Linked DNA regions of Oryzias latipes. The protein of the gene in region 7 binds, or shares a complex with, the protein of the main gene of each other region. Links are inferred from orthologs where the notes say so. Each region holds a gene or a part of one and is shown on either strand. Other genes may lie near its edges.

What was found.
Region 1: the proteins of prothrombin (region 7) and serpind1 are in contact, whole or in part, in a crystal structure (PDB 1JMO), measured with the Homo sapiens proteins. The link is inferred for Oryzias latipes from reciprocal best matches to the Homo sapiens genes F2 and SERPIND1. Residues at the interface, in NP_000497.1 of Homo sapiens: Lys384, Ser385, Pro386, Gln387, Leu389, Leu390, Cys391, His406, Cys407, Tyr410, Pro412, Trp413, Asp414, Lys415, Leu423, Arg425, Ser430, Thr432, Arg433, Tyr434, Lys440, Ile441, Ser442, Met443, Asn458, Leu459, Lys470, Trp511, Ala513, Asn514; in NP_000176.2 of Homo sapiens: Glu75, Asp76, Asp77, Asp78, Tyr79, Leu80, Leu82, Ile85, Phe86, Asp89, Asp91, Val305, Glu306, Met307, Thr308, His309, Gln327, Asp343, His361, Lys362, Arg388, Thr457, Val458, Gly459, Phe460, Met461, Pro462, Leu463, Ser464, Thr465.
Region 2: the proteins of prothrombin (region 7) and fgg are in contact, whole or in part, in a crystal structure (PDB 2HWL), measured with the Homo sapiens proteins. The link is inferred for Oryzias latipes from reciprocal best matches to the Homo sapiens genes F2 and FGG. Residues at the interface, in NP_000497.1 of Homo sapiens: His450, Pro451, Arg452, Arg461, Arg486, Ala489, Ala490, Leu493, Ile530, Val531, Glu532, Arg533, Cys536, Asp546, Asn547, Met548, Phe549, Cys550, His605, Phe607, Arg608, Leu609, Lys610, Lys611, Trp612, Lys615; in NP_068656.2 of Homo sapiens: Pro439, Ala440, Glu441, Thr442, Glu443, Tyr444, Asp445, Ser446, Leu447, Tyr448.
Region 3: the proteins of prothrombin (region 7) and serpinc1 are in contact, whole or in part, in a crystal structure (PDB 1TB6), measured with the Homo sapiens proteins. The link is inferred for Oryzias latipes from reciprocal best matches to the Homo sapiens genes F2 and SERPINC1. Residues at the interface, in NP_000497.1 of Homo sapiens: Leu389, Leu390, Cys391, His406, Cys407, Tyr410, Pro412, Trp413, Asp414, Lys415, Trp455, Arg456, Glu457, Asn458, Leu459, Asn506, Thr510, Trp511, Thr512, Ala513, Asn514, Val515, Gln519, Arg541, Ile542, Asp562, Ala563, Cys564, Glu565, Gly566; in NP_000479.1 of Homo sapiens: Lys258, Glu264, Asn265, Arg267, Tyr285, Glu287, Gly288, Lys289, Glu345, Met347, His351, Ala419, Val420, Val421, Ile422, Ala423, Gly424, Arg425, Ser426, Leu427, Asn428, Pro429, Asn430, Arg431, Val432, Lys435.
Region 4: the proteins of prothrombin (region 7) and serpine2 are in contact, whole or in part, in a crystal structure (PDB 4DY7), measured with the Homo sapiens proteins. The link is inferred for Oryzias latipes from reciprocal best matches to the Homo sapiens genes F2 and SERPINE2. Residues at the interface, in NP_000497.1 of Homo sapiens: His406, Tyr410, Pro412, Trp413, Trp455, Arg456, Glu457, Asn458, Leu459, Glu509, Thr510, Ile542, Asp562, Ala563, Cys564, Glu565, Trp590, Gly591, Glu592, Gly593, Cys594; in NP_006207.1 of Homo sapiens: Val225, Arg288, Ser355, Ala356, Thr358, Thr359, Ala360, Leu362, Ile363, Ala364, Arg365, Ser366, Ser367.
Region 5: the proteins of prothrombin (region 7) and proteinase-activated receptor 4 are in contact, whole or in part, in a crystal structure (PDB 2PV9), measured with the Mus musculus proteins. The link is inferred for Oryzias latipes from reciprocal best matches to the Homo sapiens genes F2 and F2RL3. Residues at the interface, in NP_034298.1 of Mus musculus: Glu385, Leu386, Leu387, Cys388, His403, Tyr407, Trp410, Asp411, Arg428, Arg453, Glu454, Asn455, Leu456, Trp501, Gly502, Asn503, Trp508, Thr510, Gln516, Arg538, Ile539, Asp559, Ala560, Cys561, Glu562, Gly563, Asp564, Val585, Ser586, Trp587; in NP_032001.2 of Mus musculus: Asp54, Lys55, Pro56, Asn57, Pro58, Arg59, Gly60, Tyr61, Pro62, Gly63, Lys64, Cys66, Asn68, Asp69, Ser70.
Region 6: the proteins of prothrombin (region 7) and proteinase-activated receptor 3 are in contact, whole or in part, in a crystal structure (PDB 2PUX), measured with the Mus musculus proteins. The link is inferred for Oryzias latipes from reciprocal best matches to the Homo sapiens genes F2 and F2RL2. Residues at the interface, in NP_034298.1 of Mus musculus: Phe379, Gln384, Glu385, Leu386, Leu420, Arg422, Arg428, Thr429, Arg430, Tyr431, Arg433, Lys437, Ile438, Ser439, Met440, Lys467, Pro470; in NP_034300.3 of Mus musculus: Thr46, Phe47, Glu48, Glu49, Phe50, Pro51, Asp54, Ile55, Glu56.

The regions. Positions count from the first base shown.
Region 1 is NC_019867.2:6,063,998-6,068,419, forward strand, and holds the start of serpind1 (heparin cofactor 2), read left to right. Parts: upstream 1-1,415; 5' UTR 1,416-1,516; intron 1,517-1,669; 5' UTR 1,670-1,670; coding exon 1,671-1,933; intron 1,934-2,106; coding exon 2,107-2,750; intron 2,751-2,823; coding exon 2,824-2,972; intron 2,973-3,070; coding exon 3,071-3,195; intron 3,196-4,059; coding exon 4,060-4,204; intron 4,205-4,281; coding exon 4,282-4,422. Other genes in the region: phosphatidylinositol 4-kinase alpha, read right to left, coding at 58-191, 298-434, 1,041-1,149. UniProt on the Homo sapiens protein: Thrombin inhibitor activated by the glycosaminoglycans, heparin or dermatan sulfate. In the presence of the latter, HC-II becomes the predominant thrombin inhibitor in place of antithrombin III (AT-III).
Region 2 is NC_019859.2:20,796,538-20,800,961, reverse strand, and holds the start of fgg (fibrinogen gamma chain), read right to left. Parts: upstream 2,906-4,424; 5' UTR 2,834-2,905; coding exon 2,771-2,833; intron 2,696-2,770; coding exon 2,648-2,695; intron 2,567-2,647; coding exon 2,380-2,566; intron 2,244-2,379; coding exon 2,159-2,243; intron 1,692-2,158; coding exon 1,561-1,691; intron 1,298-1,560; coding exon 1,164-1,297; intron 1,078-1,163; coding exon 893-1,077; intron 735-892; coding exon 457-734; intron 365-456; coding exon 186-364; 3' UTR 1-185. UniProt on the Homo sapiens protein: Together with fibrinogen alpha (FGA) and fibrinogen beta (FGB), polymerizes to form an insoluble fibrin matrix. Has a major function in hemostasis as one of the primary components of blood clots.
Region 3 is NC_019862.2:24,576,154-24,579,302, forward strand, and holds the end of serpinc1 (antithrombin-III), read left to right. Parts: intron 1-58; coding exon 59-233; intron 234-885; coding exon 886-950; intron 951-2,038; coding exon 2,039-2,215; 3' UTR 2,216-2,406; downstream 2,407-3,149. UniProt on the Homo sapiens protein: Most important serine protease inhibitor in plasma that regulates the blood coagulation cascade. AT-III inhibits thrombin, matriptase-3/TMPRSS7, as well as factors IXa, Xa and XIa. Its inhibitory activity is greatly enhanced in the presence of heparin.
Region 4 is NC_019871.2:18,674,707-18,679,092, forward strand, and holds the start of serpine2 (glia-derived nexin), read right to left. Parts: upstream 2,977-4,386; 5' UTR 2,719-2,976; coding exon 2,715-2,718; intron 2,039-2,714; coding exon 1,760-2,038; intron 1,610-1,759; coding exon 1,382-1,609; intron 1-1,381. UniProt on the Homo sapiens protein: Serine protease inhibitor with activity toward thrombin, trypsin, and urokinase. Promotes neurite extension by inhibiting thrombin. Binds heparin.
Region 5 is NC_019868.2:3,735,651-3,739,958, reverse strand, and holds the start of proteinase-activated receptor 4, read left to right. Parts: upstream 1-1,181; 5' UTR 1,182-1,442; coding exon 1,443-1,548; intron 1,549-2,925; coding exon 2,926-3,971; 3' UTR 3,972-4,308. UniProt on the Homo sapiens protein: Receptor for activated thrombin or trypsin coupled to G proteins that stimulate phosphoinositide hydrolysis. May play a role in platelets activation.
Region 6 is NC_019870.2:3,362,156-3,365,059, reverse strand, and holds part of proteinase-activated receptor 3, read left to right. Parts: intron 1-264; coding exon 265-1,310; 3' UTR 1,311-2,904. UniProt on the Homo sapiens protein: Receptor for activated thrombin coupled to G proteins that stimulate phosphoinositide hydrolysis.
Region 7 is NC_019860.2:10,379,638-10,383,502, reverse strand, and holds part of prothrombin, read left to right. Parts: intron 1-1,176; coding exon 1,177-1,257; intron 1,258-1,525; coding exon 1,526-1,605; intron 1,606-1,679; coding exon 1,680-1,704; intron 1,705-1,947; coding exon 1,948-2,013; intron 2,014-2,105; coding exon 2,106-2,214; intron 2,215-3,865. UniProt on the Homo sapiens protein: Thrombin, which cleaves bonds after Arg and Lys, converts fibrinogen to fibrin and activates factors V, VII, VIII, XIII, and, in complex with thrombomodulin, protein C. Functions in blood homeostasis, inflammation and wound healing.

The DNA.
Region 1 (4,422 bases), on a different chromosome or scaffold from region 7:
AAAAACAGGCTTTAGAGATCTGTTGAGACAAAGGATTAAAATGGCAGTGAGGCTGACCTCATGTACTCTAATCTGTAGACGGAGAGCAGGTAGGTGGACATGGCAAAGTCTAGCTTGTTAATGAGGGCAGATCCTTCTGGAGTGGGGTCGATAAGATTGCTAATGGTTGCCCGAAGTTCACTCAGCTCCGCCTGAGGGCAGTAAAGTAATAATAATACAGTTAGCACTGGAATCTTACTGAAACCTTAACTAATGCAAAAAAATATATAGAAATCCTGTCCAGGATTTCAAAATTACCGGTGTCACAGTGTCATTTTTCAACGCCGAATTGTACTGTAGTTCAGAGCGAAGTGGTTCTCCACTCGGAAAAGTGAGAAGAGGAGACTTGGTGGCAATCTCACACACACCTTCATACCACTCTTCAGGCCAAAGTCCTGAATAAAAAAAAGAATACAGAAGAAATGGATCATCTAAAACTCTGACTCTGATCGAAAGCCTTATCACTACTTAACGCCTAAAAAACTATACAGCACAGGACTATCCAGTGTAATATAGTCCCTGCATTATAAAGCAATTCGGACACATGCTCAGTACTTTCTTTAAAATATGATGTTACCCCTTTGCTAAAGTAAAAATGTACTAAATATAAACATTTTACAAAGACTGTTTATAAATCCACTGTGTTCTGATCAAGAAAACTTAAATTTACACTTATTGCAAATAAAAATAGTTTAAACGGAATGCAGTGTTGTCTATATTTGCCAAACTAGTGAGCATCAAAGCACTCTGTTTTTTTGCAGAGACTTCTGGGAAATTTCCAGGGCACTGGATCTTGGAGTTGTATGTTCAGACCCCCCGACAAAATAGACCTCTGTCTCTCTTAATTTCACTGGATGGAGTCATTTCAATCAGTCCAATAACATTTTCAAAGAGAATTTACATTCTCTTTTTTCTCACCTTTTGTGTTTGTGTTTTAGGGAACCAAAGGTCACTGAACCAGAACATTTTTTAATGGAACACATCATGAAAACATCGCTCACCTGATCCCTCTGCAGCAAAACCCATGACCACAGAATACAACCAAAAGTCCCTGAAGAGCTTTTGAAGGCGGGGCTTGGCCTCCTTGATTGGCTGAAGCCGTCTTGTCAACTACAAGTCACAAAAACAGAAAAGGTCAGAAAAATGCGGAAGAGTTAATCATTTAAGTACACAAACCTAAATGTGAAGGTTTTTTTTGTTTTAAGGGGGTGCTTTGAGTAAAAATGTTTGCAAGACACCCTCTTATGTCAAACACAAGACACGTTGAATTTTTTAAATTAAAATATTACATCTAAATAATAAAGTACTTCAACAGTTTGGAATTGTGAAGAGTTAAAGCTTTTAGTCTGTCAGTAGACTTTTTGAACTGTTTGATCTTGTATATTTGTTTAGGAGAACCCTGAATCAAAGTCCAGATTTGTGTTATTAGTCCTACAAACAGAGGCAACGCAGCACTTCCCACAAGTTCACAGCAAAGGTAAGAGATTTAACAAAATAACAGCATTTTTGAGGAACAAAAGAGATCGTCTTCCACCTACAGCTTCATCAAAATTCATTTAATCTAATGATCCTTTTGCTGAAGGGACCCGACAATAAGCTACACTTCAAAAAACATTTCTTCTGCTTTCAGGATGTGGGTCATTATGGTCATTGCTGCGGCCTCTCTGCTGGCTGCTCCATGCTCGGCCGGCATCAAAGACCTCGGCACTCACTTCAGCGGTCCAGATCCAAACCCTAGAGGCTTACAGCCGGCTGGGACAGAGGATGTGGAGGCCATTCCCATGGAGTTCCACAAAGCAAATACAGTCACTAATGAGTTAGTTTTTGATGGCTTTGAGGATGAAGATTACATCGATTTTGATAAAATTCTTGCTGCTGGCAGTGATGATTACATGTAAGTAAGATTATTCAAAATCCAATGTTAGGAAAATAACTCAAATGCTTTGCACTTAATGAAAGTCAGAGTAGGTTTACAACAGACCATTTTCAGCCTTTTTCAAGTAACCTTGATGATTCAGAAAGCAGGAAACTCTGATACCTAAATTTTAACTTTTTATTGTTTTTCAGCGAGGGCGATGAGATTGATGAGATTTCAACACCACCCCCTGACATTGACATCTTTGCCGAAGCCTCTGACCCAAAGATCCGAAGAGCTCGGCTCCTGAGGCTTTTCCACGGCCGATCTCGTCTCCAGCGCCTCAACACCGTGAATGCCCATTTCGGCTTCAACCTTTACCGGAGTCTCCGGAACCACGTAAACCAGAGCGACAACATCCTGCTAGCACCTGCGGGGATCTCCATCGCCATGGGGATGATGTCTTTAGGCGCCGGGCCGGGGACACATGAGCAGATCTACGAAGCTCTGGGATTTGCAGATTTTGTCAACGCTAGCCATCACTATGATAACACGACGGTGCATAAGCTGTTCAGGAAGCTCACCCACAGGCTCTTCAGGAGGAACTTTGGCTACACGTTACGCTCTGTAAATGACGTCTACATTAAGAAAGAAGTCTCCATGAAAGACGGCTTCCGTACACAGAGCAAGAATTATTATTTTGCTGAGCCGCAGTCAGTCAACTTCAGAGATCCAGCATTCCTGGAGAAGGCCAACAGCCGCATACAGAAACTTACCAAGGGGCTGATCAAAGATCCACTGAAGAGTGTGGATCCAAATATGGTGCTGATGCTGCTAAACTACCTGTACTTTAAAGGTAAGTGGAAAGAAAACTCCTAAGATGTGTGAATTCTTAACGCAAGTGATCTGTCAATTCTTTGGCTAAACAGGGACGTGGGAGCAGAAATTCCCAAAGGAGATGACTTACTATCGCAATTTCCGAATTACTGAAAAAACAAGCGTACGTGTGCCGATGATGGCCAATAAGGGGAACTATCTGGCTGCTGCCGACCATGAACTGGACTGTGACATCCTACAGGTGGGTGCTCGGCAGCTCTTGTTTGGTGGAGGTGCTCTCTAATCCACAAACCGCTTGGTGACTCGACTTAATGAAGATGTAACCGTTCTTCCGCGCAGCTCCCATACTCAGGAAACATCAGCATGCTCATCGCCTTACCAAGGAAGATCAGCGGGATGAGAACCCTGGAGAGGCAGATCTCACCAACTGTTGTCAACAAGTGGCTCAAAAACATGACAAACAGGTTGGCTTCATATTATTGACGAATTCAAGTATTTGGGGTTTCATCATTTATAAAAGGACAGTTTGATGCTCATTCCGGCGCTAAGACCTCTCAGGAAAAAAATAGGAATTTGAATAGCGGTAGATTTTTTTGACCTTTAACATTATTTCATCAATTAGTTACCAGCTTAGCCTCCTTCACAGTAACGTCACACATTAATGGTTAGTATGAAACATTTTTAAAGTCCCATCATCTTTTGATCTATTTTAGAAGTGTTCCCAGTGGTCTTTACATAAGGATTATGCCGTTTTTAACCAAAATGTTAAGAGCTTGTGTCTTTTTCTAGGACATAGTTTCTACAGACCTGCAGTAGTTTATCAGAAATTCGCCTTTGAGTTGTGAGCAGGACTGTTGAAGCGGAACAACAACAACCCCCCTTGCCGTCAACCACAAACAGCTAGTTTAAAGCCCCTCACAACCCCAACCTTACATTACTGGTGCAACAAAAAAAGGCCAGTAATGTCACAGCTATCTAGCTGTACAGTTTTGAGCCAGATTCCAGCTCAGACAAGAAAAATAAAGACGTACGTGGATCTATTTGTCTGTAAGTGGATGCATCAGAATGGAGCGATAAGGAGCTTTTGGCCTGCACAACGAAATTTTTAAGCTCTATTTCTTTTTTTCGTCTGCTCCTGATTTACGATTTAAACAAAGAAATACTCAAAAATGCAATTGTGAACTAAATTTACTTAATACATGTCGTCCATCATCAGAAAAATGATGGAGGACATGTTAAAAACACAAATTTTTTTTGGGTGGATTTTGTCAACTTTTTGGATTTTATATGATTTATAACCAGGTCTCCCCATTTTTTCTCTTTCTTAGGACCCGTGAGGTTTTGTTACCTCGTTTCACACTGGAGCAAAGCTACGACTTGATTCAAAACCTTAAGGAGATGGGCCTCTCCGACATGTTCCAGGGGAGTGGGGACTTCTCTGGAATGACGTCAGAAAGAGTCGTCATGAGTTGGGTGAGTCCAGACTGAAGCAATGGTCCCTTTGAGGAATAACATCTATCACACACATTAACTCTGATCTCTGTGTGCAGCTGAAGCACCAGGGAACCATCACAGTCAATGAGGAGGGAACCGAGGCTGCCTCTCTGACCCAAGTGGGCTTCATGCCTCTGTCCTCTCAGATCCGCTTTGTCGTGGACCATCCCTTCCTCTTCCTCATCTATGAGCACCGC
Region 2 (4,424 bases), on a different chromosome or scaffold from region 7:
AAGAATAAAAAAAAACAAGACTTGGTAAGGAAAATACATGTATTTAGTGGTCAAAACAACATTGAAGAAACCGAAAATTCTTTTTGGCAAAAATCTCCACAATGGTCAACAACACAGTGACACCGTGATAGTTGGTGGCTGAATACTTGATCTGAGGAGGCCTAAGTGCAGAACACTTAACGGTTTCACAGTCCTCCAAACGTTTTCACGCCAGCTTGCTGTTCTCCTCCTGACATGATGCGGTTGAGGGGAATGATCTTCATGGTCGTCTCCTTCAGCGAGTACCAGCGGTCGTGCCACGTCAGCCAAGTGATGCCATTGTCATAGCCGTGTTCACCCGCATCTTTTTCCGTGTATCTTCCACCTGGATGACAGAAACGCAGATTCCAAATTTTAATGTTTTTAACCTATTTATACATTTAAACATGGAAGTAACCACTTTTAGAGTCATTGTACCCTGGTAGTATTTTCCAGTCAAATGAGCGGCGTGACATCTGTTCATCCACCACCCGGAGCCGTCCTGCTGGGCACAGTTGCCATCATATTTGTCGTTGTCCTTGTCGAAGGTGCTAAACTGCATGCCATTGTGTGACGTGTAGAACTTGTCGCTGGGGTCTTCTCCTAGGTCAACACCATCGAAAGCATCTCCTGCGTCGCCACCAAAGTAGTAGCCATACATCAAGCGGTAATTGTCTTCTGCTGAGCCTACCCTAAACATGGCGTAGTCAGCGTGCCTGGAGTAAGAGACAGCAAGAAGTGAGACGTTTGAACCAGCTTAGATCTCGTTATTTACATTTTCCAGCCACATCAATGAGAGGTCATGTTTGTTTTATCATGTCCCTCTCTGCTCCTGTTACACAATCTGTCATAGTGCGTGGGTGTTCGTTTGTACTTTTTGTTGCCCTCCCAGTCAACAAGTTCTATCCTGAGGACAACCGGGATGGTGGTGCTGATAGTTAGTTGATGGATCTTTTCATTTCCGAGCCAAAACTCGGTGGTGTCATCCGGAGACAGATAGCCAAAGCCCTCCTTGTACTGGACCCAGTCTCTCCTGAAGTCCACACTGCCGTCACGTCTCTGCGGACAAAAAGGAAAATGGACTGGGATAAAAAAACTGTTTTGAGTGTGGGAAAAACAATAGCAGGATTAAAATGGGTACCTACTCTTTGGAGTACCGTAAAACCCCGCCCAACACTGTCAATCTCACAATAAACCAAGAACTGCTCCTTAGCTTTGGCTGGCTTCACATAGTAGAGGCCGCTGGTGGTGGCACCTTTATTTGCAACATCCTGGCAATCTGAGAACAACAAACAAACAATCATAAATGAAAAAAAATATGCATTCGTGGGACGTGACCATTTGTGTCTATGCCTAAAAGAATACCCCAAATTTGAAGTAATGGAAGATTATTTCTAAGACAAAACAAAAAAGCTTCGATGTAGCTTATTGATTTTGGCAGAAAACTAAACCCTGAACAAGGACACAAAGTGCTCACAACAGGCCCGATTGAGAAACTCCTTATGAAATAGGAACGGCCAGAGGGTCACGGGGAGTGTTTACCTGCTCCTGTGATAGGCTGGATTTCAACGGAGTCTTTGCAGGGCTCGCTGCATCTCTGCTGAAGCTGCATGGACAGCTGCTTCAGGTCTGCCATGCTTCTCTCATTGGAGGAGATCACATTCTGGAGTTCACTGGTGAGACAGGGACACCCAAGACGACTCTGAGTCATCATTTCCTTATGCTAAAAAAGATTATTGATGAAAAATGTTTGGGTTGCAAATCCGTCTGTGGGATGTTTGGTGGCGATTGGGAGAAAAAGTAGTTGAAACATCAATAGAAAAATAGAAAGTGGTGCAATTTTTGAACGTTCTGTGAGGAAGTAAAAAAGACAAGCGTTTCCTCCTCTTTAGCTTTGACTACATGATATCCCATAACAGGATGATGGAAGCCTTTTTCTTAGGAAAACAATTCAACTCTCTACAACATAAGCAGCTCATGTTAGCATAACTGTAGATATGATCCTCAAAAACACCAAAAATAAAAAAAACTTAAAACAAAATAGAATGATACTGAAGTGCTGAGACTACTAAAAGTGTCTATGAGATCAGAACTGACGCCTAAAATCCTGCAGTTAGACGTAAACCTCTGTTTTACTCACAATATTTGCTGTTCTTGTGCAATAATTGTCTTGTCAAATCGAAGAACGTCTTCCAGCATACTTGACGACCTTTTATAGAGAGGCTCTGAAATGAAAACAACCACGTATGCATTTATTTTAAGCTCGACATGTAACATTTGAAAGAATTTATGAAACCAACCAATGAAGAGAGAAACAACATTTTTCTATCTTTTTTGGAAAAAAAACCACATGGTGTTCACCTGGCTGGGAGCTCTTCTGGGCTGAAGCAGCTGAATCTCGCATGTATGTAATTTTTTCTTCTGCTCCTTCAGTCAAGTTAGCTATCATGTCCAGGTCTTTTTGCATTTCCGCCAAAATATCACTCACTTCTGGTAAATACTTGAAGAAGTAATCAGCAACTCCACATGTTGTGGGACAGTATTTTCCCTAGAATCAAAAAAGGCAAGTTGATTAAAAAGGAAAAAAAGATGTATTTTGATGAACACATGACACAAGTTTGGTACTCACAAAGCCATCATTTGTGGTGCATGTTCCCAGATTATCTCCTCTTACTTGCTATAAAACAGGACAGATTAGGTGAGTTGATTTTTTTTTTTCTCACAACAAAAAAATTGCAATCATTGAACTCACTGCAGATGCCAGGGAGAAGAGTAATAGAAATCCTCCCAAAGTGGCAAGAAGTTTTGACTGCATGTTGTTCTGGCTTCCTGTGTTTTTGGAGAGTGAAGGGGTGCCTGGACTGGGGGAATATATATCTGTACGTGGCCACGGGTCAGACTTTGGTAAAGGTTCATGGGTAAACATTCCACTCACTTTGTTGTCACAGATCTGTGACTCAGAGTGTAACAGGGGTTGCTTCAAAGTTGTGACGTTCTCAAAGTTTACCAACTAGAACACAGCTCCAACCTTCCGGCACAAGCTATATTTGTGCAAATCTGACTGCAGGTGAGGATGACTCAGCATCTTCTGGAACATGGCTCGTCTGCAGTCGGGAAATCGAAAAAGAATCACAACATGACTCATCACATCAAGGCAAATCATTTGTTTTCACTTGCTTGAGTCCATCTGTCATTACACGAGGAAGCATTCTGCAGGGTCTACATGCACACAGTATGTGCTGCCAAAAGTATGAAAACAAGATCAAATTCATAAAACTGGAACGTTTTGTTAAAGTTTTATGCTTCATATTGTTTCATGCCATTTCATTTAAATTTTGGTGTCTTAAATGAATGTCAATCAAAAGCATTTTTTGGGTTATTTATACTTTATCAATACATATGCAGATTGTTTAGCAATTCTACAAGTATTCATGCTATATAAGAACAAAGAGGAAGCTTTAAAAATAATTAAATTAGTCTATCCCAGGAATCATTACACAACACATGTCAGGTATCAAAATGGAGTTCCTATTGATTGTCTTCAGAAAAAGTTATTGTATTAATCGAGACTTGATAATAATATGAAAATTACTGCTCAATTTTTGCAACAGAAACTCATTTCTAAAGCACCTCGAAGGAATTGTGGTCCTGCTTGTAATAAGGAAAACAGCAGAGACACCTTAAAACTGATCTTCATGCATGGCTAGTTTGCTACGCTCACACTGACCTTGGCGACGTGCGTTCGTTCAAGCGACCACTTCCTATAAAAAGTCTATGTGAATGCACGCTTGAAGCTATCACGTTCATGCATAGCTTTGCATGTTTTTAAATCCGATTTTGGGCTCTATGTACAAACGCTCTGCCTTTGAACGCGCATTGAAAGCTAAACCAGTTGAACTTTGAACCAATCAGAGACTCGGATTTGGTAGTGAATTATGGGTAGTGTCCTTTTTAACCCACGGAAGTGCCAACCATTTGAAAATTAATTATGAAGGAGGAGAAATTAATAACTGTGGTTTGTGCCCGGCTGGAATTCTATAACAGCAAGTCTATCATATATCAGAATAGTTATGTGAAAGAAAAAGCTTGGAGCAAGATTCACCAGATTTGCACTGCTTTGACATTTTGCTGCAAGCCTCTTTCAGCTATGAGTACTACTTGCACAAGTATCGGGTAGCAACAGTCAAGTGTGAACACTGTATGCTAAAATCGCGTTCAAGAACCCGTGCTTAGCATGTTCTTTAGCACATTTTGCATTACTTGGCAAATACTATCACAACAAGTTGTAATACATCCCGATAACCTTTCCCTCTGTGACCTGCTTGACCTTGGGGTTTTTGAACATGACTTGGAAGCAAATTTGACAGACACAGGTAACTTTTTGGGTGGAGGTAACTATTAAAACA
Region 3 (3,149 bases), on a different chromosome or scaffold from region 7:
TCGATAACCGTCCACGTTCTAGGCCTCATGCTACAGAGGTGTTCCTGTGTGTATTTAGGTGGAGGAGAGCCTGAATTTGAAGAAACTGAACAACTGGTTGGATCAGATGACGGAGACCTCCGTCTCCGTGTCCATCCCTCGCTTCAAGGTGGAGGACAAGTTCAACCTGAAGGAGGTGCTGCAGGAGATTGGACTGACCGACCTGTTCAGCGCTGAAAACGCCAGCCTTCCAGGTGCTTTATCCTGAGGCACATCTTCACTGCCAGTCATAAGTCTTTTTTGAGATCAGAGAAAATAAATTCATTTTTAAAGAAAATTTGGCTTTTTTTATTACAAAAAGTTTGCTAAACACATTTAAAATAAAACACTAGTTTTACTAAGCTTGTCAACTCGGTTCAAGTCATGGCTGGCTCTCAGTATGACTACATTTTCCCACAGTGTTTGTGTGTTATTGCAATTTGCTCTGTTGGAGCATCAACCAAGTTTTAGTTATTGTGGATTTGAGCTCAGAAATATGAACTCTGTGATCAAAACCCTCATCACATTTTACTTGGTTAATGGTACACTACAAAACCTGAGTCTTCAATCTTTCAATTTTCTGTCTTGCAAGAAAAATTATTAAGAACATTTTCAATAGCAAAATAATCTTAGTTTATCTTAAAATAAGAATTCTTGGTACGGCCATTTGTCTTACCCTGTTGGCAGAGTTTTTTTTTTGCATATTTAAGAAAAATCTGCCAATGGGGTAAACTTATTTTACTTTCCTCTAGGGGGCATGTTTCTGTTTTTGCAGTGCAATTGTAAAAAGGAAAATCTTTTAATTTTTACATTTGCCTCCAAAGAGAATATCAATCTGTGCTTCAGTGAAGTCTGTTTGTGCTTCAGGGATCCTGGAGGACGACTCTGATGGGCTCTTCATCTCCGATGCCTACCACAAAGCCTTTTTGGAGGTCAGTCAGATGAATTTTATGTAAAAAACAGCAAATAAGGAACAAAAATAAGGAAAAACTACCTAAAAAGCATGTTTTGTTATAAATAAATGAGCATACGATTCTTCAAACACACCTCTTCAGAAAAGATAAATGACTGACATCACAAATCAAGTCAGCCAAGTTTGTTTGTTTTATGCTAAATTAGCTTTAAAATGCTAACCTGACAGATAAAGGTTTGAAACAGCACAACAAGGATGGAAAAACACAATGTTTCATCTGAAATCTATTAAAAAACTTAACGGATTAAAAATTCAGAATGTGTGAGAGTCTTGATGAAAATCTAAACATTTGTGCATTCAAACTATGTTAGAATATCTTGGCATAATTATATTAAAGTCATACTCAAATCTGCTTTTGATGTATTTTCAAAGCATGCAGTGGTCTTTTAATTATGATTATGTCTTTTTCCAGGAGATAGTTTCTGCAGAGCAGCATGAGTTCATTAGAAATTGAGAAATTAATTGTGGTTGGAACTATTGGCACGGAGTAAGCCCGACCACACTTCCCATTATCCATGTGTTACACTCAACCCCTGTTCTAGCTTACAGCCCCTCTCAACTCCAACCTAGCATTATTGGTGCAACAAAAATGGCGAGCAATATAGCATCAACTTTACTGTTGAGCTCTGATGCCACTCTCTTAATTTAGTAGTAATTCCTAAGAATTTACATTTTTTTTCTTCCAAAACAAACCTCAAAGATTGACTTTAAAAGTAGGTTTGAGTTTAAGCTACCTCAGCTTAGTCCGAGTAATATTGTGAAAATCCTCAAGGTTGATGAATTTCTTTTTATTCTGAAAGATTTGAGTTTGATTTCCAAAAGATTACTAATATTTTCTGGGATTTTTAGCAGTTCAATATTAAACACTAGTGCACGCCCCCGAAGTTTAATGATTCTGACAGGGTTTAAACACTAGTGCACGCCCCCGAAGTTTAATGATTCTGACAGGGTTTATGGATGACTTTAGGACAAACTTAGGAATTCCACCACCGTGCCGTCATGATGTGTAACAGAGCAGCAGTGATGGAGGTTATCATCTGCTTTCAGGTCAATGAAGAGGGCAGTGAGGCGGCGGCTGCCACCGTCGTGCTTGCTGTCGGACGCTCCTTCAACCCTTACCGCGAGGTCTTTCAGGCCGATCGGCCTTTCCTGCTCTTCATCAGAGAGTCGACCATCAACACGCTGCTGTTCAGCGGCCGGGTGGTCAACCCCTGTGATCAGTAAATCCCACTAACAGACACTTCAGCCAGCATCACTACGTGATCACCTGTAAAAAGGTACAGGACAGCTGAAAAGAAGTTTAAAAAAAAAAGAAAATATAGAGTGTAAAGGAATTCTGTGCAAGATGATACAGAGAAAGATTGAAGATACATCTAGAAAGTAGAAAAGCTGAATAAAAGCTGAAATAACATTGAGTACTTTGTATGATGTCGGTTAAATTGGTCACTATACCAAAACAGTTGAAGGAATACGCACTTCTGGTAATCTTTAAGTTGGGTTTATTATGATCATTAAGAGTTATGCAATAACAACATAGTCTGGTTTGATTTGATTGATTTTAAATAAAATTGTTGTTAAACACACAAATTCTGAAGAAGAAAAAAGTTTTTATTATTAAAAGTTTTTGTAGTGTTTTAATGGGAAATATATGAGTGTAAACAATGAACACAACTTGTTTTATTTGAACATTTTTTCTGCCAATTACTGTATATGCAAAGCAGCTAGAACTTAGCATGCCAAAAAATTTGACACAGTGGTGCAGTGGTTAGCCCTCTGAAATGTCCTGGTTCAAATCCCAGCTAGGACCTTTCTTGCATGTTCTCCTCATGCATGTGTGGGTTTTCTCCGGGCACTCCAGCTTCCTCCAAAAAAACACGCTTCATTGGTTGATGTGTGTATCTCAAAAATGTCCCTAAGTGTGAATGTGTGTTGTTTGTGGTCCTGGTGACCTGTTCAGGCTGGACCCCGCCTTCACCAAACAGTGGCTGGGTTAGCGCCAGCAACTCTGTGACTCTGAAGGAGATTCAATGGGTTCTAAATATGGATGGACTGGTTCTTCTCTCATTAAGTTAATAATCAAAAATGGCAACAACAAAAAATAAAAATATGATTTGATCATAAGTCGTCAAGTCCTTTACTTATAATGACTTTGATTTTG
Region 4 (4,386 bases), on a different chromosome or scaffold from region 7:
AACACAGACTTTCAACTCCCTCCAAAGATTCTCTATGGGGTTGAGATCTAGAGACTGGCTGGTTCACTCCTAGACCTTGAAATGCTTCTTACCAAGCCACTCCTTCGTTACCCGGGCTTTGTCTTTGGGATCGTTGTCATGCTGAAAGACCCAGCCACGTTTCATCTTCAAGGCCCTTGCTGATGGAAGGAGGTTTTTACTCAAAATCTGATAATACATGGCCCCATTCATTCTTAACACAGATCAGTCGTCCTGATCTTTTGCTGAAAAACAGCACCAAAGCATGATGTTTTCACCCCCGTGCTTTACAGTAGGTATGGTGTTCTTTGGATGTAACTCAGCATTCTTTCTCCTCCAAAGTTCTATTTTGGTTTCATCTGATCATAGGACTTTCTCCCAAACCTCTTCTGGATCATCCAACTGCTCTTTAGCAAACTTTAGACGGGCCTGCACATATACTGGATTTAGCAGGGGGACACGTCTGGCGCTGCAGGACTTGAGCCCCTGGCAGCGTAGTGTTACTGATGGTAGCCTTTGTTATTTTGGTCCCAGCTCTCTGCTGGTCACTCACTAGGTTCCCCAGTGTGGTTCTGGGATATTTGCTCACCGTTCTTGTGATCATCCTGACCCCTTGGGGTGAGATCTTGCAGGGAGCCCCAGATGGAGAGAGATTATCAGTGGTCTTGTATGTCTTCCATTTCCTAATAATTGCTCCCACAGTAGATTTCTTCAAACCAAGCTGCTTACCTATTGCAGATTCAGTCTTCCCAGCCTGATGCAGATCAATAATTTGGTTTCTGGTGTCCTTAGACAGCTCTTTGGTCTTGGCCATAGTGGAGTTTGAGTGTGACTGTCTGAGGTTGTGGACAGGTGTCTTATAAATTCATAACAAGTTCAAACAGGTGGCATTAATACAGGTAACGAGTGGAGGACAGAGGATCCTCTTTCAGAAGAAGTTACAGGTCTGTGAGAGCCAGAAATAATGCTTGTTTGTGGGTGACCAAACACTGATTTTTCATCATAATTTACAAATAGATTCCTTAAAAAAAAAAATAATAATAATAATAAATAATCAGACAATATAATTTTTTGATTTTTTCTTCTTCTCATTTTGTCTCTCATAGTTGAGGTTTACCTTTGATGATAATAACAGGCTTCTCTCACATTTTTAAATGGGAAACCTCACAATTTGGTGGCTGACTAAATACCTTTTTGCCCCACTGTACGCACGTTTACATTGAGTTTTCATTGGAGATGTTAGCTTGAGCCCGGTTTGAATGTAGCATAATATTTAATGGGTTTCAGTCAGTTCTGTTGGGATCTGAACCCTCTTCAGCGGTTTTCTACGTTCTTCAAAACCTTTTGAATGTCACATTCCTACCTTTGGTCATGTTTTTGACCCATTTGTTGATCTCGTCAGCAGCAGCGTGGGGGTTGCTGAAGTCAAGAATCCTGCTTTCACACTGAAAGTTGGCTTTGTTTGTGCTCACAAAAGTCTTCTCCATGGGGAACCCCTTCTGGCTGAAGATACCGTTGGCAATCAGAACCGTGTCTTGGTTGGACTTGGAAGTAAGAGTTTTGTGCAACCTCCTCAACATCTTGTAGGGTCCTGAGCAGAAAAAAAGGATTAGATTGATCTTTACCTCCTTAAATAATCTTTCATTTAAAAACAGTAACAACTGTGAGAAATAACTTAGGGTCAGTGTTTGTTCAACTGCATCTCCTGATCTTCTTCTTCCACAGAAGATCCATCTCTTACCATTTTTCTTGTACCGCAGCCCTTTGATGATCTGCCTCCGTGTTTCCCCGTGGGCTCCAGAAAGCAGCATGCCTAAGACGGAAGCCACTCCATGGGGCGAAAGCACCACGTTCTCCAAGGGTCTGGAGCGGACTACTTCCTGAAACACCTGGATGCCAAGATCAGAACCTCGTTCTCCATATGATGGAGCTTGGCACAGCACTTTTTTATATACAAACAGGTTCATCAGTGCACAAAGGCAAACTAGTGATGCGCCTTTCTTCATGATCCCCACTGCACCTGAGGGAGGAGCCAACAACAACAGGTCAGAGGCAGCCCCTCCAACCCCCCCAAAAACATCTCCGTGAAACCATTGAAATGACCGATGAAGGTTACCTGGACATTCCTGTCTGTGGGGGTTCATACCACCCCCCCTGAACAGAAAACACTGCTGTTCACTACTTTGGACTAACTGCCGACTTAACTGTCATCCCGGGAAACAACAAGCTGCTGCACCAACCGACAGGGATCTACGTTCGGTCTCTCGGTTGAGCAGCAGGAATTTGCGCCGTAGTTCTATGTATCCTCAGGAGGAGGACCCACTAACGCAACACGCTTTCAAAAGAGGAAATGTCTTCAAGGAACGTCTCAATAAAGTTTTTATGTATAAGTAATTGCTGAAACATTTTTTTTCTCCCCCCAATTGGTGCACATGGTGACACCCCCCCCCCCCCCCCCCCCGGAATGGTCAGTCCCACAGCGGGGTGCGGCCCCACTTCCCAAAGCTTTCACGCGCCGCGTCAATGAGACGGCTATTTACTCACAAGACCCCCACCCCATCAGATATTTGCCTTTTTTTCTGAGGGGAGGGGGGTCAAATGTCAGGAGTCACTAGTTTAACCCCAATAGAGTCCGTTTTTACGGGCCGTCGAGATCGTTTGCATCACGTCCCTGCAGATGAAACGGCTGCGCTTACCCATCACGAGGAGAGTTGCTCCGACTTTATCACTCAGGTAAACGGTGACCGTATCCGTCCGCCTTCCTATCCAGTAGGCAGCTAACCTGGTCCGGGCTGGGGGTTGACGGTTCTGATCCCGGCGACAGTCAGTTTTATTTCTGACTTCGCCGTTGTTTCTCGGAAGACTTTATCGCTCCGGGCTCCGCCTTCCAGCCAAACAACCGAACGCGAAGCGCGTCTCTCTTGTGCAGTAACTAGCCAAACGGCGAAGCACTCACATCCGTTGGAATTTCAAAATAAAACACAATAAACAGTTAATCCTAATGTGTTTGACTTTATATACAAACGTATACGTGGGCTCTAGATATGTTTCTAATACGCGTTTTATTTCATGACATTTTGCGCTATATTCAGAAATTATGGATGACTAAGGTTATAGTTTTGGGATGACACTCAGAGTTACTTCCGGTATAGTGTTTGTCATGAAGTTCAGGTGCAGTTACCTGTTTGAGAGCAATACTCAGGTCATAACGTGATGCGTAGCACGCTTTCAAGCATTTGCAGTGGTCGAAATACTTCCTGATTTCCCCTACAAATTAAAACAAAACAGCAATTTACTATAATTTAAAAGTGAAATTTAAAAATGAGTTGTTTTTATGTACATTCTACCTCTAATTCTTTCCTCAAAATAGAATTTGCTAACAAACTAAGTTGTGTTGACAGATATGAACACCTGTAAACACCTGGTGAGCCACACAATAAGTGAGGCAGCTCCATGGGATTATTTCAGGGAGAGGAGGGTTTGTCTCCTATTTCTACACTAATTTTGTGACAGTTTCTACACCTAATTGATTTTCCAAAAACCTAAGTGCAAACTTTAAAAGTGTCTTTTATTGAAAAACAATTTCACAACTGTCAGTTATAGTGAAGAAATACTTAAAAATGTGTTATTCATTAACCCTTGTGCTATCCTATGACCCCACCCTTACATTGACGTGTTCTCCCTACCATGACAAAGGTGGATAAAGGTGGAAAGATTTCATGTAATCCATGGACACCAGTGAAGATCACAAATCATTGAAGAAAAAAGGTTCAGCGCACTGTCTAGTGGGTCTACAAGACCCAACTCCCAACATTAAAGTGCCTAGGATAGCACAAGGGATAAAGCATAACGTTTTTGCCATTTCCCATTTCAGTTCAGTTAAATCATTTTAGTATGACTTTGTGGTCACAACTTAATTGAACCTACTGATAACCTTCATTTTAAAAGATGGGAACATGTTGAAACCTGAAGTTTTTTTTATTGTGTTTTAGTCAAGCGATGAACGGACTATAAAGAATGCAACTAAAGAGACACTGCATTGAAGCAAATGTTAAGCCGGATAAAGCCAGAAAAATCTATAATCTTTTGTGTTTGGGACAAACTTCATGGACTAAAATCATTTTAAACGCTTTATTGATTCAGGCAAAACCAGGAAAAGCCGATGTTACATTTATGCATTCAGCTGCTGCCTGCAGCAGGCCAACCTTTGCACAAAACCTCCAACTCAAGTTATTTCTGCTCTTCCATACTAATCAGACTGCCTTTAGAAATCTAACCAATGCCCAAAAATGTATGGTTAAAGATCTATTTATTTTGAGGTTACACTACCTCAAAATAAATATCAAAATACTCACATTTTACTGAATT
Region 5 (4,308 bases), on a different chromosome or scaffold from region 7:
TAATGAGCTTCCTCCGCAGGGTGGCTGGGCGCTCCCTAGAGGCAGGGGGAGAAGCTCGGTCACCCGCAGAGAGCAGAGTTGAACTGCTTCTCCTCCACATTGAGGGGAGCCAGTTGAGGCGGCTCGGGTCTCTAGTCCGGTTGCGTTCTGGCGCCTGGGGAGGTGTTCCGAGCATGTCCCACTGGGTGGAGGCCGCGAGGAAGACCCAGAACACGTTGGAGAGACTACGTCTGTCGGTTGGCCTGGGAATGTCGCACATTCACCTCAGAGGAGCTGGAGGAAGTGTCCGGGGAGAAGGAAGTCTGGGCATCTTTGTTTAGACTGCTGCTCCTGCGACCTGGTTCTGGATGAGTGGAAGAAGATGGATTGTAGATCATTTTCTCCAAGTGGATTTAATCTGCAACAATGTTGAAACCGTGTAAATAAAAACAAGGTGTGTTGAAAGTGATATAAGAAGTGTTTTTGACAAACCTGTAGTAAATTTCTTGGACATTTGAATGAGAGTTCATGCATCACACACTAAACTGAACCTGGCTTACCACTTGATGTACCCTAAAACCTTTAACAGACCCATCTGATTTCTCTGTATTGACTTCTTCCAGAGTGGCCACTTAGAAACACAATCATCTGCATCGCATCAGGAAATTTGGTCAAAGGCATTATAAAAAAGGACAAAGCAAATGTAGTGAAGGTGTTTCACGACTAAAAAAAATACATAGTACTCTTAATTTTAAAATCAATTTAGCCTTTGTTTACAGCGCACCCCAGAGGAGTTGTCGGGTTCTGTTTTACTGAGTGTGCATCCACCAGTTTCTTCCACCGTAAAACCTTTAAAGGTAAAACTGCTCTTTGGCCTTACTTGGTCCTGCTCCTATAAACCTTCTGTGCTGCTCTCGTTCCTGCAACCACTCTCATCCAAACATCTGCAAATACAAACAAGCCTGCGTTCCTGACTGTCTGCAGCAGTGAGCTGTGGTTGGATGACAGAACATAGGAGGGGTCTGAAGTTCGGACACGTTTCCTGTGTGATGAGGGGAGCGGGGGGGGGGGGGGGGACTGAGCAGTTCTCACAAACATGTGTGGACACGGTTGCAGTTTCAATCAAGAACGAGCAGAACAAAAAACACTGATCCAGCTGATTAGTTCTCATCCAAACACCAGTTTAGGTCTAAAAAAAATAAAAAAGGTCAGAGACGCAAACAGCAGGTCCGCAGTGAGTTCAAACAGGGGTCCTCACAGGAGCACACACACACACACCCTGAGGTCGTTATGGTGGAGGTGTGTCCGCATTAAATTCTAACATCAGCCTCTCACTTCACTTACAGCAGAACCAGCCCCATACCCCCAAATAGACTCGAGTTTCTGAGAGAACAGGAAGCCGCTGATGTTGATAAGAGTCTACCAAAGAGCTGTGCAGCTAGAGAAAGACGTTCAGAGGAAGTATGAAACTGCTGGCTGGGGCCCTGTTCTTTGCGATGGGACTGTCGTCTGTCCTCGGCACCTTACCACCTTCTCACTCTGCAGACCAATGTCCCAACACATCTCTCAGTAAGTCTTTCTTTTTGTTTTGAAGATATCAGGGTCTCACATCTGTCTCATGCCAGAATTGTTTCATCTGAAATATAGTTGCGTCACTGAAGATGATTATTTTCATCAAAACTAAACATTGACATACTCAAACATTTGCCAGAAGCACAGACAGTAAAAATATTTGAACGCTCTGAACCCCTGACAGTGGGTGTGGTTTGTTTACAGCATCTTTATGCAAGAAACAGACATTAACCAAGTTAGCTTAAAGCCATGATCCGCTTCCCCCACATCTGGTATGATTCTAAGGCTTTTTAGTTTGATTACAGAGGGTTTTCCCAATCACTTTTAGTTTCTTACCTTTACTTCCCCCTTCATTAAATGTAATACTTTATTCTACCAATGATGATAATTGATTTGGAGAATCAAGATGATAACACTTGAGTAAATTTTTCACCAGTTGGCCAACATTTGAAATACCAGACTAGAGCTCGTGTCCCTGGCTAAGAAGCCAAACCCCACGTCACCCACCGCTGTAAAGGATGTTGGTCAAAGATTTTCTATTTGAGTGCAGATGAAGCTGTTTCATACAGGTAGTGGCCCTATGCCTTCTTTTCAGTTGCCTTTCCTTTCACCAAGAAGTTAATAAAGTTGAAGAACAAACTTTATTAGACCTTAAAGTCTTTTTTAAATTTTACACTATGATCTGTTTTAGAGGTCAAAGTTGTCTGAAGTTTGTTTTCTTTTGTGGTTTTATGCAACGTCATTTTAAGCCTTTAAGAAGAAACAGAATTTGCTAGAACACTCATGTCATAGCCTTGAAGAATTGTGCCCTGGCATGTGTAGCAACCACAGCGAATCTGTATGACACCAGAGTCTTCTGAAACGTGCTCTGGACGACCTTTGTAGACCAGTATCAGCACGGTTCACTAAACACTTTCAATCATAAAACAGAAGACAAAGCAACCAAACTTTGGGCTCAAACGTACTCAGAGACGGTACAGACTGTCTGGTGTGAACTGACTGTTTTTTAGAAACTTGCTAAAGGTCTCTTCACCACGTGACTGGGGTACCCAGGAAAAAAGCACCTCCATCTCCTGGGCAACAACCATCCATCAACCAGTTGTTCAACAAACTGGAAAGTTGTTGGTTTGATTCTAGGTCCAATTGCAGCTCTGATGTAAAGCTTCTGCCTAACATCTGTGCTGTGATGACCCTAATCTAAATAAGAACTCAAAAGTGCAAGAGAATTTATGTTTGTAACTGTGAAAATTGAGATAAAATGGAAAAGTATTGGTCCCTTAATCCACTCTGCTTATCAACAACCTCAGTTTTTTCCGCACCATCCCATATTGATTCTGAGCAGGAGCCTGATGCTATGTGTCTTGCTGTCTGCAGTCCTTCGGACCTTCCGGCTCACGGTGACCTGTAACATCACGACTCTGAAGGAGAAGCAGCTAAAGGACATCCAGGCTCCAGTAACAAACCTCTACCTGCCTATCTTGTACTTGCTGGCCTTCAGTGTCGGTCTCCCCTCCAACATCATGGTTCTGTGGGTTCTGGTGTTCAGAACCAACCGCCTCCCGTCCATGTTTTTTCTCATCAACCTGACCATTGCAGACTGCCTTCTTCTTCTGGTTTTGCCATTTCGGATCGTTTACCATTTCCGAGGTAACCACTGGGAGCTGGGGGAGCCCTTCTGTCGCGTGGTGATGGCAGTGTTTTACGGCAACATGTACGGCTCTGCTTGGTTCTTGGCACTTGTGGCCATAGACAGATATGTGGCTCTGGTTCATCCATTTAAGGCACTGACTCTGCGCACACAGCGGATGTCAGTGTACATGACGGTGGCAGTGTGGACGGTGGTTCTGGCTGCCATGCTGCCGCTTCTAATGTCACGACAAACCTACGTGTTGGACAAGCTGCAGATCACGACGTGCCACGACGCTCTCCCTGAGGAGGAACATGAGAATTACTTCCTGCCATACTTCAGCACCCTCTTTGCCTGCTGCTTCCTTCTGCCTTTTGCCATCATCCTCTTCTGCCACAGTGCAGTCCTGCGCACCCTGCTGGCTGAAGGGAAGCGCTACGCCCACGCCATCAGAGTGACTGTTTTAGTGTTGCTCGTTTTCATCGTGTGTCTTTTGCCCAGTAATGTCCTGCTCCTGCTAACTTACGCCGACATCTGGGTGGATGGGGACGGCGAGGACTTCTACATTCCCTACATGATTAGCTTAGCTGTTAGCACTTTCAACAGCTCCCTTGACCCCTTCATTTTCTACTTTGTGTCCACGGAGTTCAGGCAGAAGCTCAAACGTTCTCTGTGCTGCTCCGGTGACCATCAAGGCCAGCCCTCCTCTAAGGGGAACAACATTTCCTCATCAACGAGTCAAAGGACTAATGTCACTCTTGTGTCCATGACCAGGCGACAAACTGTTACTTAGATGGTCTGTATCCTCATATGGGACAACAGCCTCTAACCCAAGAGTCTGTGAAGATGTTAAAAAGCTCCATTAATCTGAGAGCATCTTACATTTCCACTGCTACCCAGGTCAAACACACCCCAAGAGTGTAGGACGGCCTTCAGGGCCAGGGATGGGGACCACTGCTTCAGATGAACCACGTTTGGTAATGCTGTACTGCAGGACTGCTCAATTCTGGTCCTCAAGATCTACCCGCCTTATGTTTTCCAGATCACCAAGACCTGCTAGCTGCTGATCAGCTCAGTCAGACGTCTCCTCATTCTGATGACCTGGTCCAGGTAATCAACAGCAAGCAGTG
Region 6 (2,904 bases), on a different chromosome or scaffold from region 7:
TTCAATTCACTTAACTTTTGACCCACGTTCAATGGCCACGTGTTGTTTACGTAGAGCCTGAAAACAGATTTAAAAACTTGCGTCACAGCACGTGAAGACGAAAGTACTGTACGCAGAAGCCTGAAACGCGAATAAACATGCGTTTACACAGACTTTTCAGTGAAAGTGGTCGCTTGAATGTGCGTTTCTGAGCCTGATGTGAACGTATCATGACAGAAACATTGTCTGGAAGTAAATATTTTTATCTTATTCTTTTTTTTACAGATGAGAAGAGCGGTAAGGCATTTCCTAATCCCAGAACCTTTTTTGGGAACCTGGTCCCTCAGACAGACGTTGAGAAGAACAGCAGCCAGGTGGTTTCAAGCCCCCCCTCTCCAGCTCTGCAGTCCCTCAGTAACAGCACCGTGGAGTACCTCAGCGGCCCGCTCAGCACCCGGGTCGTCCCCTTCATTTATATATTTGTGATTGTTTTCGGCGTCCCGGCCAATGTCGCCATCCTGTGTTTCCTGGCTACTAAAATCCGAAAGGTCTCCTCCGCCATCCTCTACTACAGCCTGGCGGTCTCCGACCTCTTCCTCCTCCTCTCCCTCACCTTTAAGGTTCACTACCATCTCCATGGAAACAACTGGGTTTTGGGAGAGGCAGCCTGTCGGGTGGTCACTGCCTGTTTCTATGGCAACCTCTACTGTTCTGCCGCGACGTTGGCCTGCATTAGCATCAAGCGCTACATAGCTGTGGTGCACCCCTTCATGTACAAAGGCCTGCCCAAGAGGATGTGCACAACCTGGGTCAGCTTGGGGGTGTGGGGGGTGTTTGGAACAGCCATCATCCCAGAGCTCCTGATTCGGCAGAGCTTCTGGCTCCCGCAGCTGAACCGTACTTCCTGCCACGATGTGCTCGCCCGCGACGACAGCTCCTTCAGCTTCGTCTTTCTGCTCTCCTACAACCTGGTTCTTACAGTCATCGGTCTTCTGGCTCCACTGGTGGTCTCAATTTTCTGCTACATTCGGATCATCGTTGAGCTCAAGAACTCCCTCCAAGACTGGGGAAAGTACATCAAGGCCAGCTCGCTGGTTTTTGGCATCTTCCTGGTGTGTTTCCTTCCCACTGGAATCTTGCACTTTATCCATTATCTGCAGCTGGAGCTGAATGGATCAGAAGGTTTGTACGGGTACTTTAGCATGGCAGTGTGCTTGTGCTGTCTCCACGCTTGTCTGGACCCCTTCCTCTTTGTTCTTATGTCCACCTCCACTGGCTCCCGGCTTTTCATAATGACTTTCAAAGGCAAGTCCATGAGCATTACTGTCTGAGAAGAAGTTGCTTTATTGTGGAGGGGGATGGAATCCAAAGATAGAGGAAGTCTATTGTTCCTGGATGATTCGCTGAAGTTGTTTAAGCTTTTATGTTTTCTCCTATGTTAATGTTTCAGAGAAAATAGAAAATGCACATATTCTGTTACTGTAACTGTTTTGACAAAGGAAAAAGAAGTATTATGCTTGAAATATTCAGCCCTGCCTCTCAGAAAAACTCAAATGAGCTGAAAATGTCATTCGGCTTCTTCCCAAGTAACAGATTTACACAATTACACTGTTCGGCACAGCACAGGATTGATGTGTCATCTATGAAACAGTTTGAAAAGAATGTTGATGGCAAATATCGTCAAAGCTAAGTTAGCTGGAAAAAAGGGCAAAATGGGAGCCAATAGTTAAATAGGCTTAACGTTTGTAGGATTCTTTAAGTTACAGTACAGCTTTGAGAATTTTCTAAACTTGCTACACAAACCTTTTGGACTCAAAAGAATAACTGAAATCTTATATAGGAAAAAAATAATAAAGACCATATTAACCACTTCCTTCATCTACTTGCACCTCAACATTAAAATTATTGGAACTAGTGCTGGCTGCAGGAAATGAGGAGCCCTAGGTGAAGTTTAACTGCACCCACAAAAAAAAAACTAAAAAAAACTAAAAAACAGAATATGTCAAATGCAGCACACAATTTTCCCACGTAAAGAAATCTTTTTGATGATCCGCTCTGATTTGCAACAATTAAATAAGTCATTAAGCTTTTAATTAGGAACACTGAAGACAGAAAGCATTATACAATAAATATATATTTACATTTATAAAGTTTCTGGGCAGAGACTGAAACAACTCCGATTTTGACTCTTCTTGCTTTCAATGCTGGAAAGTTGTCAGGGACGTCATTATAAACCATTAGCTCTGTTTGCGTCTCTATTCTTCTTCTTTTCTGTTTTGCGCACCGGACAGTTTGTGTCTTTCTAATTTGGACGTTAATTACCTCAATTGCCTGGGAAAAGACAAGTTGTGTAACAACCTGCTGGTGTAGCGCCCCTCAGCAGTTGCCACACTAGGCGGCTGCCTAAGTCGCTTATATCAAAGACTGGGACTGGTTGAAATGGTACAAAGTTTACAGATGTAATTAGATGCAAAAAACATACCAAACAACTGCGAAATGAAGTCCAATTTTACAGAGAAAAAGCTTAAACTAGTTTAAGGTAGCAGAGCAAAAAAGTTAGATGACAGCATTCTAATTTTCATGTCACAAATTCAAAGAATTAAATAGTATGAAACAACAACATGCCCTTTAAATGAAACTGTGCTATTTTAAATGCCTAGGAAAATGTAAACCAGTTAAGTCACAACGGCTCTTATAAGGTGCATATGGACTCTCTGCGGGCAAAAAGTAGGCAAACCTGTACAGGGCTTGAAGGTGGCCGCAGGTAATATCAGGATTGTAGACTGCTTGGTGAACCCTTAGAGAAAATGTTCATGCCCGCATGGTCCAGTTGACAGGTTGTAGCCAACACTTACTTGTATGACACACAAGGGTACGTATAGGGGGAAGTAAGTGAGACGCTGGCACGTCGTACCGATTTTTCAA
Region 7 (3,865 bases):
AAACCTTTGCTCTGTTCTTTGAGGTTCTGCAGAGAGCTGCAGCTCTTAGGAGCAAATATAATGGTGAAACTGAAAAACTTAAAACACAGTTTTAGGTGCTTTATTGTCTGAATCATATATTTCTGTAAATTTTTTATCTTTTTAGCAAGTAAGCAGCTAAAACCTATTGAACAAGGCAGGAACTGTTTCTAACCTGTTAACCTGTTGTCTACAAAGCTGTTTATATCTTTGCTTTACTGTGTTGCTGTTTCGCAATTTTATACCTTGAAATAAAACTGCCTTTTCTAAGCTTGATCACCTATGTTAATACATGTTTTTCTTATTATTCATCTTTACTTTTTTGGGAGTCCCTAAACGGACAAAGAAGTAAAAAAAAAGAAAGAAAAAGTACTGGTGGCTCCACACTACGGATCTTCTGAAGGGACATAGAAGTAAAAACGATTAGTTGAAATTAAGCTGCCTTTTCTAAGTTTGATTAATTATGGAAAATATTTGTTTTTAATAGTAATTCATCTTTACTTACTACGGAGTCCATAAAGGAACAAAGAACAAAAAAAAAAGAAAAAGAAAACAATAGTGGCTCTATACTACGGAGCCCTTAAAGGGACAAAGAAGTAAAAAAAAAAAAAGTACTGGTGGCTCCACACTACGGATCCTCTGAAGGGACATAGAAGTAAAAAAAAAAATTAGTTGAAATTAAGCTGCCTTTTCTAAGTTTTAATAGTTCATTATTACTTTCTACGGAGCGCCTAAAGGAACAAAGAAGTATAAAAATTGTCCTGGTTTCTTGTGTACACGTGAAACTAACTAGTTTGCCCTTGAATCCAGTACTGTATTTTGTTTTAATTCTATGTCCCTATAGTAACTTTCCTTAAATTCTAAATTTAAAAAAATCCTTGAACTTTGGCTAAAGTGATAAAAAAAACATTTCTGGACTTAAAAGTAAAATGTTTAAAGCAAGCAAAGAAAGTGTGTCAAACAGAAAATTAAACCTTTTACTAATAAAAACACTGTTTCTGGATATCTGCAGTGTAATATCTCCTCAAATGCAAATAATTTTGATAGATGTATAATTGATTGCAATCTCACTAAGATGCTGGAAGAGCTTGAAACCTTGGCATTTCTAAAGGTTTGTCATCTCCAATTTAAAAAAAAAGATCTCTTTTATGGTTTCAGTTTTTCTGAAGGGTCAGCAGGCATCGCAGGTGCTGGTCCGGAACCCACGAGCCAATCAGATGTTTGAGGAGTTGAAACCAGGTGAGCCACTTCCTGCTCAATATATTGAAATAAGGAGTAACTTCCTGTCTGTAACTGGGTCTAGCTTTTAGGGGGTTAGATGTGTTATGGCTTCCTTTTGTCATATAGATTCACCATTAATAAGACTGTCCCTACTCTTACTATATTATAAATAAGAGAGAAAAATCGACATAAAGAAAAATGTATCGGTGTTTTCTAAAGGTGGAGGAAAAATGATTGAGTCAGGAGGCCATGCTGGTGTCTGCTAATGTTGATTATCTGCTCTCAGGAAACCTGGAGAGGGAGTGCTTTGAGGAGATCTGTGACCACGAAGAGGCCAGAGAAGTGTTTGAGCAGACGGATAAAACCGTACGCCTTCATTGTTCAATACCTTAATGCTGAACTCAGACAGGTCACTATACTGACACAGACTGTTCTTTCAGGAAATCTTTTGGGCGAAGTACCTGGGTGAGTACCAAGCAGACACATAAAGGAAATCCAAACTGGTAAAATACTCCTTGGAAGATAAAAAATAAATCAAACTAGTTCTATTTTTGCGTAAACAGTTTCGATTCCATTAAAGGTTGTTTGTGCAGCAAAGCAGAGTTTATTCAGCTGCAAGCTTTAAAGCAAATATGAACAAAGTTCAGAACAGATTGGTCCACAAACATATAACTGTTGCACACACTTGTGTGTTTGCCTGTTGTCCAGACTGTGAAGGAACAGTGAAACATAGAACAACAAAGACCATCGGCCTCATCAGAGACTGTGTGGAAGGTAATTCTACATAAACCAGATTAAAACAGTCTTAAGTTCCTCTGTGTCAAAATTGTCAGATTGTGAGTCTTTGTGCATATGTGTGTGTTCAGGCCATTGTGTCTCTGGCAATGGACATAACTACAACGGGAACATCCATATCACAAAATCAGGCAGGGTCTGTCAACACTGGAGCCACAGCTTTCCACATCCTATCTTCAGGTAACTAACCAGTTCATCGTCCTAACTTGAACTTATCCGGTAAAAGTCTTAGAATTTGAACATGACTTTGTTAAATGAAACGTGTTTTTGTAATGAACTCCATTTTCTATCAATTTACCAAAGGATAGTTAACATTCTACAATATTTACAACAAACATGAGCAAAAATTAAACTAAATTAAAGCCGCAAGCGGCGTTGTATGGCCTGCAGACGCAACAGCCTTCCACGCCCAACTCTACGCACCACCGCCGCCATCACCACCTTCACCGCCCACCTTCACCGTCCACCTTCACCGCCCAACTTTGATCAAGGCTAGTCAAAGCTGCATGTGCTAATAATGTTAACCACATTATGCTAATGTGGCTAAAAGTACTAGCTTTGAGATCAGCATAATCAACTGTCTCAAAAAAACACATTGCCTTAAAATGCTAATTATGCTAACTATGCTAGCTAGCTAATGTGGCTAAAAGTGCTAGCATTACGATCAGCATAATCAACTGTCTCAGAAAAACACATTACCTAAAATGCTAATTATGCTAGCTATGCTAATGTGGCTGAAAGTGCTAGCTTAACAATTAGCATCATCCACTGACTCAGAAAAACACACTGCTCCATTGGTGAGAGCTAAATGTCATTAAGTTGATAAAAAAAACACCTTTTTCAAAATGGCGGCTTTTCTGTTGATTTTATCTCCATAGCAACCATTTTATTTTTGGGTCACCTGGAGATGACGAACAGACCGACATCAGTTTGAGACGAATCGGAAAAAGTCAACTTTTTGTTGTCCTTAGCAACACTGGTTTTGTGATAACCACGCCCACATTCCTTGTATGTGCATATCCAGTGTTTTTCATTATGTTTAGTTCCTGACATTGACGCATTTATTAAAATTTCACTGTTATTCCATTGAAAAACATAGGAGTTGTTGCACGGTGGCGCAGGGGTTAGCGCTCTTGCCTCACAGCAAGAAGGCCCCCAGTTCAAGTCCCAGCTGGGGGACATGAAAACACAACATCAATGGGGTCCCTTTCTGTGTGGAGTTTACATGTTCTCCCTGTGCATGCGTGGGTTTTCTCCGGGATCTCCGGCTTCCTCCCACCGTCCAAAAACATGCTTCATAGGTTGATTGGCAACTTTAAATTGACCGTGAGTGTGAGAGCGAATGGATGTGTGATTGAGGACATTCTACCCTGCGACAGACTGGCGACCAGTCCAGGGCATCCCTTGCCTACGTCCAAGTGGGCGGGATAGGCTCCGGCAACCCCGTGACCCCGAAAGGGAATAAACGGTAAAGAAGATGAATGAAAAAGGAGTTATAACAGTGCGCCACTTTGCTAGCTCGCCACGGGCACGCCGTTTAAAATCTACAACTTCTAAGTCGAACATTTTTTCCACAGTAGCTTTCCATTGCTGCCCAAAAAGTTTCGAGACGATCGATGAAAATTCCAACGACAAGTTTACGTTTGAATCCGGTGGTAAAGGTGTTTTTTATAGAAAATTCAAGATCTAAAATCGCAACAGTTGCGAATTTGCCACGCGCACGCCTTTCAAAATCTACAACTTCTAATTCCAACATTTTGTCCACAGTAGCTTGCCATTGATGCTCGAGAAGTTTCAAGAAGATCGATAAAAATCCCAAGGATGAAAAAGG